Schizosaccharomyces pombe: one gene and its partner. Changing the gene in region 1 together with any one later gene gives a genetic interaction. Each region holds a gene or a part of one and is shown on either strand. Other genes may lie near its edges.

Region 1 (9,495 bases):
TTCATTAACCCATAAACTAGACGTTCAATAGAAAATTGGTCAATATAGGGGTGTTTTGTCGATTTTATGTCTGTTAAAGAGTCCCTATCATTGCTTAATTCTATGCAAGGAAATGTGAAGATTGGAAATGTGGAACCGGCCAAAGGGAACGAAGGTTATGTTGATAACGCTGGATATGTCGACTGTACAAAGTCTTACTTTGAAGCCACGAAATCTCTGAAAGAGGAACAGCTAGTATGTGATCCAAAATTTACATTATTGGATTCAATCAGTGCCTTTGAAATTATGGAACCGAAAATGGATAGTGGGATTGATTATCAGCCACTTCGTGTAGATTTTTCACGTGATCTCTCTTACTTGGAAATATTAGCGTTAATGGATTTAATTGTCTCTGCGGAAAAAGAGTGGCATTATGGATCCCCCTTATCAGAGAGCTTACTCTGTAGTGCCCATGTGTTCTCCATTTGCAAGTCGCCTATTTCACAAGTGGGTGACAGTGGCTTCTCCAGTGGTAGCGGAAGGAATACAACTGACATCGTTCTTTTCCCTTTTGTTTTGGCTGTTATTAAATGTTGCGATATTGTTCATCGAGAATTTCTGATGGGAAATTTATATGACGAGGAAGACATTAGTTCGTTTTCATATCACATGTCCTTTCTTCAAAATTACCCCATAGAAAAACTCAATTATCTTTTGCAATCTAGCATCGAATATTTGGCTTCCGAGGTTATAAAATTTTCTGCCGAGTTACGACAAATTATCGAGGGAATTCTCAATAGAATACAACTTCGAATTGGTATTTTACGAGTGTATGAAAGGAGTGATATTAAGACCACCATCGATGCTCTCCATCTGATCAAAAATTTGGTACCCGAGATTCAGAACACGGTTTCGGTAGTTGATTCATCTATCAAGGAGAGCATATTAAAGCAATATTGGGATTTTCGCGTCCAAGCCCAATTAGTTGCTACAGCTCCTGTGAGGAATATTCCTCCTACTGGCATTGAGCATTCTTATCAACGAATTTTGTATTTTGCTGATGATATGCTTTTGATTTTGAATAGCCACACTCTCGCTTCTTCCTTGGCAGTATATCAGTTTTGTTTAGATTTTACGAGATTGAATCGTACTCCAGAGCCTTACGTCCGTTCCTCCCTTCAAGCACTTATCACTGCTAACAATGCAGTTAATCTAAGGGATCAACCTACTTCGTATATGTTAGAATGTATTCGTGAGTTTTCTGGGCTTCCTTCAAATTTTTATAATCCTAACACCCGTACAGTAATCGAAAAAAACTCTATCTCATCAGCCTATGGTCCGCTAGTTGAGTCTTTGATTGCTCATTCAACTAATATCATGGTTGACCTTGTCCGAATTTGTTCCCACAATCCCTGTCGGTTCCGCCGTAATCTAATAAATTTACTTCCTGAAATTACCGTTGCTCATTTTGAAGCTGAAGCGCTTGATTTGAAATTCGTAGCAAAAAGCCTACCAAGTAATGGACCGTTTTCATCATTTATTTACCATGTTAAGCTAAATGCAATTGAGCATATCTTGCTTTCTTCCTTTGAACAAAAACTTCACCAACCATATCAATGGCCCCATTTTTTTGCTGTGCTTGATCATGTCTTTTCTATCCACCAGACTCATTTAGAGCTTCATGGAAAGGATCGTAATACCCCACCTATGGCCAAAACCTTTGTTACATATTTGCATCGAATATTGAATGCTATAAAGGAGACCTATTCTGGCTATTTACTAGTATGTATAAAGCTTATCGCTTCTTTTTTATTCTAACGATTTTAGCTGACGGTGCTTTGTATGCGGTTGAATATCATTAAAACTCCTTCATTTACTCTTGATGAAAAAATTCAAGAGTCATATTACATGGCCCATTATCGTCCTTTAATTAATTTGCGTCAACCCAAGCCACTACTTCGTTCGGAAGCTGATTGCATAATCAAAAATCTTCAAAATTTCTCTACGGATGATTTAATCATCAAATCTAATGAAAAATTCACTGCTGCAAAGAATAGCCTTATTAATGTTATAAAATCCGGTTTTGAACAGAATGAGTTCATCAACCCGTATTTCTTGCAAACCAACTATTTAAAAAATTTATTATGTTGCTGCATTACAAATCTGGTTTCACTTGCAATCTTATCCAAAGATCATAGTGCTAATCTAAAAATAGTGGAAATACCTGGAAATCCGCTCCCAAGTCTTTCACGTACATGAGGTGTTGTTCGTCTTTTATGTTAATAAATCAAAATTATCAAAAGTTAGGTTTTCAATATTTTTTTAATCATTCAATCTAATTATTGCTGACTATTTTAAAAACATTTTCCTAAAATCATCGTTGCTTTTAGGTGCATCTATCTGCATTTCTTTATCGTCTAAATCGTCCTTCTTAGAATTTATATTGGAATGATTGGAATTGAAACCTTGAAACGTTCGGCTTCCGAGTCGCCGTGGGCGTGTAGCAGAGGTATTGTAATCGGAATGATTCATACTAGATGGGACATTGTGCATCATTTCATTGACAGTGGTAATGTGTAGTAACCTGCCACCAATTTCATGTCCTTCTAATGCCAAGGATGCCTTTCCCGCATCATGAATATCCAAAAACTCTACTACAGCACCTTCATGTTCAGGATGAAGAACAACTCTATACAACTTTCCGTAGCTTTCGAATAAACTTCTAAGTCTAGCCTCGTTAACAGTCCCGTCGACATTAGTGACTCCTAGGCTTTTGCTTTTGATTTGTTCGAATGATTTTTTTGGCGTTGACATTTTATTTGACTCAGTAGTCTCAAAGCTTTTAGCTAAGGTTCGGTTGTCATTGGATGATACCCTTGTTTTCTCTAGAGATTCTCGAGGCTTCGACAAAACAACGTTCAAAACTCTATTTCCCAATTGCTTTCCAGCAGCAGAAAGTGCATTTTCAGCATCTTGATTTGTAGTCATTACCACATATCCAAAACCTTTATGTTGATTAAATCTTTTCGGTATTCGAACACTCTCAACCTGCCCATAATCCCTAAAAAATGTTTCTACGTCTTTTTCATTTACTTTAAAATCAATATTTGTAACGTAGAGTTCTCTACCCTCATAGACAGCACCGCTTCTAGGAGTTCGCCGAAGCGGGTCTGATATAAAGACTTGAATAGGATACTTCTCTTCCAATAGCTTCTTATGTAACTGCAGGGCATTGTGTGCCTCATCGGGCTTTCTCATTTGTACATAACAAAAACGCCTGTTCGTGTTATACCTTAGACTAGGAAAACGGACGTCAACCACATTACCATATGCAGAAAATAATTTGGTTATATCTAATTCATCATAAGTCGGAGGAAAATTGGTAACGTAGAGGTTCGTGTCTACATGAATTTGAACAGAAATTTCATGACCCCTTATCGATTTAAGGTCTCTTGTTTTAGCAGCAAGAACTTCACTGGTTTCAGAAAATTCAATCTGAGCCACTTTAACATCCTTTTGATTGTCTTCGAGGATAAAAATGCGTATAATATTACCACAATCTTTGAAAAAAATTTTCAACTCATTTTCGCTTATATCGGAAGGTAGATTGGTAACCAAAACTGTAAGTTCTTCCCTATTCCTGTGTTGCTCAATAGGTTTCGACTTTTTGAACACATCACCTTCTTGCCCAGGTTTTCTTTTCTTTGAAAGGGCGGCTGTATCATCAGCTTGAGGCACTTTTAGTGGTTCGGTGTTTTCGACAGTCTGCTTCGTTTCTTCAGCAAAAGAATCCAATTGACGTTTGAAGCTAATCCTCTGTGCATTTAAAACGTCATATAAATGTGATGTGTTTGTGAAACAGTCATTATTAAGGTCCATAATGGATTGATAAAATTGGAACAGAAGTTGAGGCTGATCAACGTTTTTGTAAAGGCTTTTTTTTAACGTCTCAGCCGCAAGCTCTGGGTTATACTTCATCGTACTTATGTATCGAGAAATCCAATATAATGCCTGATTTTGAAAATCATGAAACATATCAGACCAGCACTTTTCTACGCTTTCAAAATCAGAGATTTCTGAATATAAATAAATTTTTGAAAGTTCAATGCGCATTCTTGCATCCTTTGATCCCTTATGATTTTTTCGCAAATAGTCTTCGACTTTATGAATTTGATGTTTCAAAAATTCCTGTGGCTTATCTTCATTAGAAGACAAATATAGGCATGCTTTTAAAAATCCGCTAAAAAAATCAATAACCTCGTCAAAATTTACGAGCAAATTTGAATTCAAACATCGATCTTTCTCTTCACAGACAGCCGATGTGGATGCTCCAGAAAGCGTCATATAAGTCAGTTTAATGGACCAAATACGCCCAATCCATGAACAGTTACGAGTAGCTCGTTCTGCTACACTGGACGCTTGAGAAGAAGAAAAATCCACTTTACTAAGCCAGGCAGTGTATTGCAACCAGAGTTCCGGAATGAGGGGATACAAAACTATGGCACGCTCATAGAGAGTTGTTATATATTGTAACTCAGCTGTTGAGCGTCGCGATTCATCATTAATTAAATCCATATACGCTTCGAGAGAATGATTTGCGCTGTTTAACAATAGTTCTTTATTAAAAATTTTTGCATTTCTTTTAAGTGTAGTCTCATACACTTTATTGCTTTTCACCATAACATCCTCATATTCGGAAGGAGACCAGTTATTTGTGACAAACGTTGATAAAGAAGTAAACGTTTCTTCAATCTGCTCATGTGGAAGTTTTAATCTATCAATATGAAAATCATATATCTTGTTTTTAAAAACAATTTCTTGCTCTTCTTCTCCCTCAAATAGAGCATCACCGAACGTCTGTAAAAATTCCAAATATAACGTCCAAACACATTGACTCTGTAAACATTGATTAGTAAATACATTTTTATCATGAAGAAAATTTTTAGTTCCTTACTTTAGAAAAATGAAATTTGCAAGTTTGGTATGCACGTTCAAAAAGAGAATGGGCATCTGTCAAAGTAATAACGCCGTTTAATTCAGACTGTTCTTGTTCAAAAGAAGAAGTGTCCATTAAGTTTAGCGTAAATTCAAGATACATACACCAAATTTTGATTGACAGATAATCTTGAACTGCCAAATCAAACAATGTTTTTATCCTCACATAGTCGTCTAAAGTCCTACAGTTTTTGCACTCATCTAAAAGGTAATCTACCCACAAATCTAAAAACCATTAATAAATGCTTGTCAAAAGATTAACAAAGTTAAAGTAATTAGTGAATAATTTTTGCGAGTCTATGGAATTCGCCTCAACACGCTTTACCTAGACGATTGTTGATTGACATACCTTCTGAAAGTGGAAAGATCGATTGAAAAGTCTTTCTAGCCTCTGACAACTCCTTCTTTTTATCTAGACGCTTTAACTCTTCAATGAGTTTAATATGACTATCATAATTATAGGGATGTAAAATCGTAAATTTGGTCAATTCATCCAGAAGCAAAGGCTTTTTTTCGTTTTGTTCTTGTGGATCAATATCCATTTCGACATTCTCATCTTTTAAATCTTGTATTTGACTCATTTCGTCAAAACCGACGAAGACTAGGCTTTTGCTGGGTTCCTTAGGTAAATGTCATGCGTATAATGTCAAGTAAATTTCAAGATAAACACTAAAGTCTTAAAAAACAAGGGGAAGTTAAATGGAAAAAAGTAAAAAAGCAATTCGTTAAAATACTAGAAAATATTAAACAATCTAGGTTGATCCTAATATACAAGGCACATTGTTAAAAGGGAGAAAGAGATTAAAAGATTGAATAATAAAACTTGTAAAAATATGCTTCAGAACAAGATAGCACTACTTAGTTTGCTGTTAATATCTTTTAGTCATAGACCTAAGTTCAACCATTTTATGAAGTGATACATTTTTTCCTGAAGGAGGGAATTAACAACAATAGTTTGTAAACAGATATACATTTGTTTTATTATAGTAAACTTGTCTGTCAATTGGATTATGTGAATATGGTAAAACTCAAAAGTCTGGCAAATCTTGATCCTTATTTTATCTTTTCTGTAAAAATGATAGTAATATAATTTTTTGGGTAAAGTAATTTTACACTTCAGTCAGCTTAAAAACCTCTTAGTACTTAGAATAAAAATATAGTAAATAATGTAAAATTCTTTTATAAAAATAATGAAACAATTCGACAAATTAAGCCATGCAAACATCATAAAAAATTCAGTTCCTTTCAGAAGAATGAATATTTATACTTTAATCAGAACATGGTTTCACAATTAAACACAATAGATAAAAAAGGGTCATGGCATTGGTTTCCTGGATAAAAGAAGTTCTTTTTTAAATAGAGTTGCATTTTATTGCAACTCCATTCAAAATTCAAGTCTATTGCTTTAATATGAATTGTTTTCGACACCAAAATAAATAAAAGAATTCAAAAAAAAACTCAATTCCAAGTTTTGTATCAGTAAATTCGGAGCGCCGGCAAAGTATTCAGTTTGCCTGCTCTCCTTTTATTTACATTTTACTATAAAGTTATCTTGACATATATCGGCGAAGTAACATTTTTTGTGATCGGCTTTTCCATGGGGAAAGCGTACATTTATTATCAGACACCACCATGTTTAGATATGATTTGCCGAGGTAGATTATATATAAAAAACGTCGTCTGATCGTTCTGGCATTTTCATTTTTTGTTCCTTAAACTTTTATTCCTAATAGTATACGTCCTTTTTAAATCTCAATTTTGGGTTAACTTTATTCCACTCATTCTTTTTACGTTTATTAGATACGCGGAGTGAGCGCGTATAGTACGATTTATTCACGATTTTAATATTATCTGATATACGCTTTCTTCGTTTGTCCTATATTATTTACCTATTTATCACTATTTTTCTTAGCATCTTGCTTATATGCTCATCGTTATGAATAGAGGTTGTCGGTTAGTTTCACGTATTCCATTGGGGTTCAGAAGGCTGAAGAGAAATCCAAACCCTGGATTGAGGAATATACTTTGCAGAAGATATAGTCCGCTGGCCTTATCCAAGGAAGTGACAGAAGCCCTTAAAAACAACGTACCAGTCGTTGCCTTAGAATCAACTATCATCACTCATGGAATGCCTTATCCTCAAAATGAAGAATTGGCAATTCAAGTGGAAAGCAAGGTACGCAGCATGGGTGCGGTTCCTGCGACAATTGCTCTATTAAATGGACAATGTACTATAGGGCTTGAACAATTTCAGTTAAGCGAACTTGCTAAATCAGGTGAAACAGCATATAAAGTGTCTCGTAGAGATTTATCTTATGTTGCTTCCCAGAGACTCAATGGTGGAACCACAGTTGCTGCAACTATGATCTTGGCTAGAGCAGCTGGCATTGACGTATTCGCAACGGGCGGTATAGGTGGTGTTCATCGTGGGGCAGAAAATTCCATGGATATTTCTGCGGATTTAATAGAATTAGGTCGCACAAGGGTTGCCGTCGTCAGTGCTGGTGTCAAGAGTATACTCGATATTGGACGCACACTTGAAGTATTAGAAACTCAGGGTGTTCCTGTTGTCACTTTAGGCCCTCCAAAATCGGCTTTCCCTGCATTTTTTTCAAGAGAATCCAAGTTCCAGAGCCCTCTTTCTCTAGAAACTCCGCAGTTAATTGCTAACATGCTCTTTAGTAATATACAGCTTGGCCAGGAATGTGGTACTCTTGTGGCCATTCCCACCCCTCACCATTGTTCTATTGATTACGAAAAAATGGAGGCTTTGATTGAAACTTGTTTGCAAAGGAGTGTACAACTTGGCATAACTGGTAAAAATGTAACTCCATGGCTTTTAGGAGAACTTCTAAGAGAATCAAAAGGGAAAAGTTTAAATACTAATATTGATTTGGTCTTAAACAATGCCGAAAAGGCTTCCCTTATTGCAAAAGAACTAGCTGTTTTAAAAGAAAAAAGCTCTTTTTTCCCTACCAACACCGGAAATACATTTGAAACGAAGCCGGTTAAACAAGACTTTTTCTATGGTAAAGTGAGTGACAAAGGGGTTTCGTCGAGCAAAAAAAAAATTACAGAAACAACGTCCAAACCTGCAGAAGTTGTATGTGTTGGTAGTGTGTCTATTGACTCAGTTTTGAAATTGGATAATCCTTTAACATCTAAATTCCTTGGCACATCTCATCCTTGTCACTCTGAACAGGCTTTTGGCGGTGTTGCTCATAACATGGCTTTGGCTTCTTCTTTAATGGGCGCTTCTACGAAGTTGGTTTCATGTGTTGGAACAAAATCCGTACCCACTTCCTCTATTAAAGAGTATCTTACCAAGTCTTCTTTGCAGCATACCATTGTTGAGAAAAGTAACTTTACCTCTTGCTCATACACAGCTATCAACGATTGTAATGGCAATTTATTATTAGCTGGAGCTGACATGGCCATCATGGAAAACCTTAGTTATTCAGAAATCAAGGATGATCTTAATGACGCTAAGTACATTTGTTTTGATGGTAATATTTCACCGTCATTGATGCTAGATATAACCACATCTAAATCGAGTAAGCAACGAGTCGTTTTTGAACCAACCAGTGGTCCCAAAACATTAAAGATACTAAAAGTCTTATCTGTTGCCTCAATTGATTTTATAACACCGAACAAGTTTGAACTCGATGTATTATTTCAAGCTATGAAAGACGGAAATTTCTTCGAGAATGAGTCATGGTGGCAGAAGTTAAACAGCTTTGGTATCACCTCCTCTTTCTATAATGAGATTGAGCGTTTTACGAAAAGTACAGGAATAGAAGAAATTACAGAAAACGGAATCTTACAAAAGTGTTTTCATTTACTTCCCTTCATAAAGAATATTATTGTTAAGTTAGGACCTAATGGTGCTCTTTTAATAAGCTCTGAGAAACTTCAAGGAGTGAATTCAAACTCAGCCAGCCTTTTTACCCCCGGAAATGTGACTGTAAAGTATTACCCTGTTCCAAAAGTTATAGCAACCCCTGTAAATGCTAGCGGAACTGGTGATACTTTTATCGGTACTTTCACTGCTTTGCTTTCGAAAGGCTGGGGTATGGACGATGCTATTGATACTGCTCAAAAAGCTGCGGGCCTCACTTTGCAGTGTAATTTTTCAGTAAATCCTGAAATAAAGACTCTTTTAAAATAGTTGCTCTCATTAACGATCGTTAATAATGCCGCGAGAATTCTTTATTTTCTAGGCGTGTGGCATCATATTTTCGATTTCAAATGGATTACTTCCCTTAGCACCACGCTTCCGACTAAGAGTATTGGAAATTTCCCTTCCCTGTGAGCTCAACGGTGTCTCTATCCTTTCATGTTTTCTTTTCATGAATTTATCACAGAGTGAAGCTTCGTTAATAAACGTTTCATACATGTAATTAGTGATGTCTTCTATATTACCAACATTTATATTTTCATCATTTTTGTTGAAGTAAAGGATTGATGGTGGAATGCACTCTTCATACAGCTTGGCGTTAAAATTTAGATATGCATGGATCG
Region 2 (7,436 bases), on another chromosome or scaffold:
TGCTCAAGATGCTCAGATTCGTTACTTGGTGAAGAATCAACTGTGTCTACGATGTATGGAGTGAAACCGACATTGCCAGAAACACCGAAACCAGCCATTGCAACACATTCGCGTTATAATGCATCGTTTTCGTCTTCCCCCCCACCACAGCCAGGGAGTAGCAGTGGTATGAGTGCTATGAACACTAACACTACTAGTACTACGCCAGTGTCTGGTAAAACTTAACTACACATTACGCTGAGAGGTAAAATACTCTGACAACATTCGTTCGATTGTATAAAACAAAATCCAGCCGAAACGATTGTTGTCAGTAATCAAGATTACGATCTAAATTGAGTACCAAGACAAAACGAAATGGTTAAAAAGTTAAAGTCGTTTTTGTATGGACACAATTTCTATAAAATAGACATGAGTAAAATCTCGCTATTTGTTTGTTATTGTGGAATAATGAAGAGTCATGGGAGATGAATGTTGTAAACGATGGCATAGAATTGGTAACGAAAAGTGAAATCGTTGGGATCAACTATTTCAGTATTTTGTTTAAAGAAAATGTTGAACTCGACAAGTAATGAGAGGTGGTGCTTTCGTTAAATAATGAGTGGTGGTTACGGTTATACAGGATATGATATGTGTATGGTGAGAATGTGATGTATGTATTTGAGTATAGACAATCAGAAAATCTGTAAATAATCAAGTCGCAAGAAAAAATGAAAATAGATATACAAAGTAAAGAGATGAATGAAATGACAAGGTATCGTAATGAAAATTGAAATTGTTGAAGACGAATAGATGAGTAAATGAGTAAGTGAGTAGAGTAGATGAGTAGATGAGTAGATGAGTAAATAAGTAAATGAGTAAATAAGTAAATAAGTAAATGAGTAAAGAGAGTAATCGTTTGAATAGGACGACGATGCTCACTATTGATGATGGGTTGGTTACAGTTACATGGTTGCATTGGATATGTGTAAGGTGATAATGACGATGATTAATAAGAAATGGAATAAAGTGTCGCTATTGAATGAAAATGAAAATGAAATGAAAATAATGAGTCAGTCATATTACAAGTAAGACGGTAGATAATAAAGAATAGTTATGTAAGTTGGTATTGTGAAAGATGATGATAGAAAATAATAATTGATGAACAGATGAGATAAATAAGATGAAGATTTCGTTTGAATGAAAAGTAACGGTTCTATAACATATGAAATGAGGTGAATGGTAGTAAGATAGATAGAATAGAGTAAGATAGATAGAATAGAGTAAGATCGATAGAATAAAGTATGGTGATATAAATAGAGATATACAAATACATTGCGAGAATGTAAATAGAAAAATAAACAAGTGACTCTAGTAAATCGAAATAAAAAAAAATGCAAAGTAGCTGGCAGTAAAAGAGTACGTGTATGTAGGATGAAAACAGATGTTTGTTTTTGATAAATATTAGCTTCGTTAAAAAAAGTTAAGGGTACGATAAAGCCAACTGAACGACGTATAGTGATGAATAAGAGGAGTAATAGTAAGAAAAAGGAATGTCAATTAGAAAAAGGAATTTCAAGTAGAAAGATAGAAAAGAGGAAGAGGAAGAGAAAGAGAAAGAGAAAGAGATAGAAGATGAAAATATTGGAAAGTAGATGATGAAATTAGTGCATTCTATTCCACTAAAACAAATCAACTAAATTATTGAAAAAACAGTCGTTACAATTACTGGTGATATATCAGCTGGCAATGAATATGTCAAATAGGAATTGAATACGATAGAGAAAAGTACAACTTTTGTTATTGTTATTGAAAGTAAAAAAATAAAGTAGAGAATAAAGTAGTAACAGATAATGAAACAATAATGAAACAAATAGAGAAAAAGATTAAATTTCGTTAATTAGAAGAGAAAATGTTTGAGTAATAATAAACAAAAAGAAGAGTGATATGTCATGTTGTAGAATGAATATAGCGACAAAAATAGAAAAGTATATGAAGTTGAAATATTATAGATAATGAAAATAATGAATAATGAATAATGAATTAATATATTATACAAGTTTCGCTATTTTGATAGAAAATAAATAAATATACTAAATAAATAAAATGAAAATTAATCAAAGTAAATTAAAATAAAACAAAAAAAAATTAACAAAAATATTAAAACTTAATAAAATAAAATAAAACAAAGTAAATTAAGATAAAACAACATAAAATTCGATAAATTATAACTTAACTTTTTTTTTTTTTTTTTTTTTTATTTACATTTTACTCTTTTAAAGTTTTCAAAAGATCTAAAATAATCTAAACTAAAAAGCTTCTGTTCTAATGGTGTTCTAGATGCCTTATTGTTCATCTAGAACAAAAAAAAAAGGAAGACTAAAAATTAAATTATGCTAACATAAACATTTATGAAAATAGCAAAATAGAAAATGTAGGAAAATAAAATTTTGCTGCATGTTTATATCCTTGGCTGGAATCTTATATCTCGGCCATTGGGGTCTACAAGATTTTAATTATGGCTTTCGGTTTAAAAGTTGAGCCATCGGGAGGTGGTGTCCTTACTTCTGACAGTCTTCCTACACATAATGGAAAAACGGCATTACAGTCAGATGCAACAGTTGGTTCTGACATTCAACAAATAGAATTACAAAATATGCCTACTCCTGTGAAAAAATTAATCTTTATCGTTTTCATGATCATATAGAATGTAATCATCCTTAGCAATGTCATAATTAAGGATTCAAATTATACAATGATAGATGATACAACAATTAAATAGATCTCGATGATGATTTATTAAAGTCTATATTGTTTGCAATACTATAAATAGAGACACAACTGAACATCGTTCCTCAGTTCAGTTATTTAGCTATATCGGTGACCGATACCATTAGACTCCTTATAACAATAATTATAACAATTGTTAGTTAGACATACCGCATACCACTAGTTTGTAGGTCGCAAAAGAAACTCACCGCTATTATACGTATCGTTAAACAGATACCAAACTGCGTAGCTGTTAAATTGTGAAAAGAAAAAGGTTGTAAGGATTACGAGATGCCAACATCATAATGCTTTTCCTAAATAAATGAGACACCTCAGAACGTAAAACATTCACCATTTTGGTTTTTTTTTTAATTTTCTCGTTTATGGCTTAAAATATTTTAGTATATTTTCTTTTTTATTTTCCATAAACCACTCTTTTTAATTTTACTTTGGGGAAAAATACTAGTGAATCAGAAGTCATCAAATTACAGTGCTGTCGTTCTATTCCAATGTCAAATCCAGAAAGCTTGAAAAAACAGGTTGAACCTCCTGGTTACAATGAGTTATTTATGGTGGAAGATGTTTGTAATGTGGACCTAGAGCAGGGACTTGATTTGTGTAAGCCTGAAAAGGTAAACAAACAATCTCAACGATCTCGACAATCCCGACAATCCCTCTTTACCAACACCATTAAGCCTCAAAAAGACAAGATGAATATTAAAACAAATAAAATAAAAGAGTTTTTAAATGACCTTTTTACTGAATTTTCTAAATTCCACAATAGCTATTATCCTAATGGAAGAATTTCTACTCAGGACAAATCTCGATGGGTCTTGCTTATTATTTGGTCTATTATCACTATTTTAACAATAGACAAGAAATTTAAAATAAAAGAGTCATATTTAGAATGGATAGGTGAAAATCAGTCCCACAGTGAAATTTGGGGGCCTATTGTTATTTATGTTGGCTTATTCATACTCTTATTGTCTGCTTTTAACTGTACGTTTCCTTCACACTGAAGCTGTTTTTTCTCTTTACTAATAGTTTATTGTAGACTGCTCCAAGCTTATTATAAAAGCTCTACCGTTAATCAGTATGGTTATAGCATGGGTCGGTGTGGTTATAGCAGCGTTCAGTGTGATTATCACTGCAACAATAGCAGGAGTTATAGCAGCGTTCAGTGTGATTATCACTGCAACAATAGCAGGAGTTATAGCAGCTATGGTTGGAATCTTATATTTCGGCCATTGGCTGGTCTACAAGATTTTAATTTTGGCTTTCGGCTTTAAAATTGTGACATCAGGAGACGTCTGTGTTTCTAACACTCTTCCTACACATAACGGAGAAACAGCATTACATTCAGATGCAACAGTTGGTTCTGATATTGAACAAATAGAACTACAAAATATGCCTACTCCTGTGAAAAAATAATTTTCTTTATCGTTTTCATGATCATATAGAATATAACTATTCTTAACAATGTTCGAATTGACTGTCCTGTCCAAATCATGCACATAAGGTGCGTTCGTTATGAATTTCAATTATGGAACCAACCAGAATCACCTCACAGGTGTTTCATTAACCAAAATTTATTAATTGGTTTTAATTAAGATATTATCACATAATGTTACTAATGTTTTTATCTCTCGTTTTATGCTTAATCAAATACTATGAATGTCATTTACTGCGTTTACAAAATGAATTCTTAATGATACATCATGAATGACTCGTTTCTAAGGTTATGTGTCTGGAAACTTGAAAAATGCAATGTAGTATATGCAAACTGATAAGTCGCTTATTTATTAATTTAATAAATTTCTGAATTGCAAGTTAAATTCTGGTAGCAAAGAATTAAATTATTCAGAGTCTTTCTAAAATCACTGTTTTTATATTGACATCCTCACTAGATTAGCTTTTCAACAATATACTGCTGCTACAAAAAAATAATATTCCTTTTTTCCGCTCGTGCAAACGAAATTTCAATTTGTTACTTCTTAACCCCTATTTAGCAGACGATAGCTATTTATTAATCAACGGATTTTTTTGCCGGGTTTCGAACGAACTGTAAATTAGATAATGACAGGATGTAAGAAGCAAAACAGTATATATCATTTTTTCCTTTATTCAATTAAAATAGCAAAGAAATATTATATATAAAGTTTATACACTAAGTATATTAGCTTTTGAATTACTTTTTAAAATATGGAAGATCTCGCAACTCTTAATAAAGCTAATTCCTGCTAATTCGCTATACACTAAATCTTAATAAACTTGCTTCATTATTTTCTCGATAAATATTTTATTTATAACAGTTTGTTAAATTGACAGGGTCCTTGCTAAGTTTCTATATACAACATAAACATACTATACGAAATAACATTTTTCTCAAGGTATGTAGAGTATAAATGCTCCAACGTGGCACAATTTCATTTCGTTTAGTTTACTAAAAACCCATATTCGCGTCGCACTCACACAGAATCTAGAGTTTAGTACATTTTACCGGCTCAACAATTAACCATTCAAATTGTATTTCAAGTATGAGTAACAATCGAATAAAATATTGTATTCTTGCTTTCCTATAAAAGTATTTTGATAATCGTAAAGCTGGGAATACCATTTGCCTGTACTTTGGCAGTTATGGTGCTGCCATGTTGCTCCTTTTATAGTTATATCCTGTATGTTAAAAACTTTTATGGAACTATCGCACTTCTGTTTAACAGCATCATAAGCCTTAAATGCTAAATTTCGATTATTAACTGGTATTCCTGAACAATCACGTATACCGTTTTTGAAGTCTTGGACCATGAAATCGTCGCCTGAGCGTCTATCAAACGCACCTAATTGCATCAGCTGAGTCATGTTCATATTATGTCTTGAACTGTCATCGAATTCAATACTCATAGTAGTCAACGCAAAGAGAGATACTGAACATATTGGCACATCATCTAAATTGCCATTTCATAATGAAAAGCAACCCTTCTGACATTCGTTTATTTAAAGAAACACTCGTCAATCAAACGTGTGTAATCACCATCATTAACTTCGACTGTATTAAATAATACAAGTCTACCCAAACTCAGTTATCGTTCCGTTAGTCACATTACTATATGCATTAAAACAATCAACTACTGCCTATCTGAACTCAGACGAATTGGTATTATAAGCATCAATAGTTAGGACACACATTATGAGTAATAAAACTAGAGTAATCATTGCTATATCGAAGAGTATAACTTATTTGGGTTGAAAACTATCACTAGACGTAAAATCTAATATACTAAACGAGTTAGGAGGTTCAGTTGTAGTTCTTTATTTATCATCTTTTCTAATGATTGCTATCATCGGGTATTCTATGTAAGTAGACAAATTTGTAATACATTTACGTTATTCATTTCCTTTCCTTGAAGGTGTTGTAATATTCAATAGATCCCTTGAAAATTACATCAGCTCTATAAAGGTTGGCTCATTGCTAAAACTCAAGTGTTGCTCAAATGGTTTAATAATGTCAGCTACGCAGTTTTGGTATCTGTTTAACGATACGTATAAGTACGATGTGTTTTCCTTCTGACCTAGTATATTACAGTACACAGGTAATATAAGTAGCACCTTCTATAGATATTTATTAAACTGTTACCTATCACTGTAATAGCTTATTACAGAACTGAGGAACGAGGTTAGTTCTTCTCAATTTATGGCATTTAGAATTATTTTTATTATTACGTTTGATTAGTTTTGTTCACAACTAGCAATATGTCTAAATAACTTATCGTGTAAAGTTGATAGAGCAAATAGAACACGTAGCTCAGAAAACACAATTCCTCTAATTTAATCCTCCCAAGTCCACGACATACCCACTACAGGTTGGTCTCTCGACTGATGGATAGAGAGTCTATCAATCTTGTATTCTTAGCGGTGAACCACCACCATCCAAAAAACTAGTGAACTACTTATATCTTAGTAATGAGTCGAGTAACAAACTTTTTACGATAATGATACTATGAAGAAGCATCTACCAGTTGTGCATATGTCAAAATAGCGTTATAATTTTATAACATCACACAAATATATTAATCGAATAGTCCTAAGTCACACCGTAGTTGACAAAGCGGCGTTGCTAGTTCCATAAGTAATATTTGTACGAGCATATACGATTAATTGATTCGTAAAATATGATCTTTTTATGCTAATACTATTATTCATTACTGTCTACCATATTTTGTAGTTCATCATTATTTTATTTATACAATTACTAGCTTTGATTTTTGAATTGTTATTTGGTTATTGATAGCAATTGATATTAAACGCTTATTCTTTAATATTATTGCACATACATCGTATTTACTGAATATGCCGGATAAAAACAACAGACTTGTGTCCCCGTGATCTAATAAGTTTAGTTATGTGCATCTTAAATACCGGCACAATTATGATGTGGAAAGCAGTAAAAAACATTTCCATATCAGTATTCGTACTTATTGCTGAAGAAGACATATAATTCTGATTTATTTCTGCAGATACATGTATTCATGAAACCTAATGTAAAATAACAATCATCTCCGGCGCAATCGTCAATGCACTAAGAAGAATTCATAATCTATGTCGCTAGTCCCACGCTTGCTTAGTTCAACAGATCGTATCAAGTTCTGCTTGACAAAGTGATTGTATGGTATTCCGTTAAGTAAATTGCAAGC

The links. Genes that interact genetically often act in the same process or in processes that back each other up.
Region 2: mutations in prp24 (region 1) and SPOM_SPAC212.04C together harm fitness more than expected from each alone (negative genetic interaction), as found in Schizosaccharomyces pombe (one large-scale study listed by BioGRID).

Annotation. Positions count from the first base shown.
Region 1 is NC_003423.3:4,133,653-4,143,147, forward strand, and holds prp24 (RNA-binding protein Prp24), read right to left. Parts: upstream 5,587-9,495; 5' UTR 5,556-5,586; coding exon 5,324-5,555; exon of another isoform or gene 5,200-5,323; coding exon 4,934-5,199; exon of another isoform or gene 4,876-4,933; coding exon 2,329-4,875; 3' UTR 2,308-2,328; downstream 1-2,307. Other genes in the region: naa35 (NatC N-acetyltransferase complex subunit Mak10), read left to right, coding at 67-1,761, 1,807-2,238; SPOM_SPBC1861.05 (carbohydrate kinase), read left to right, coding at 6,899-9,142; protein Mug131, read right to left, coding at 9,191-9,495.
Region 2 is NC_003424.3:18,333-25,768, forward strand, and holds SPOM_SPAC212.04C (uncharacterized protein), read left to right. Parts: upstream 1-3,254; coding exon 3,255-3,744; intron 3,745-3,799; coding exon 3,800-4,176; 3' UTR 4,177-4,718; downstream 4,719-7,436. Other genes in the region: SPOM_SPAC212.06C (DNA helicase-like protein), read left to right, coding at 17-225; SPOM_SPAC212.03 (uncharacterized protein), read right to left, coding at 5,257-5,646.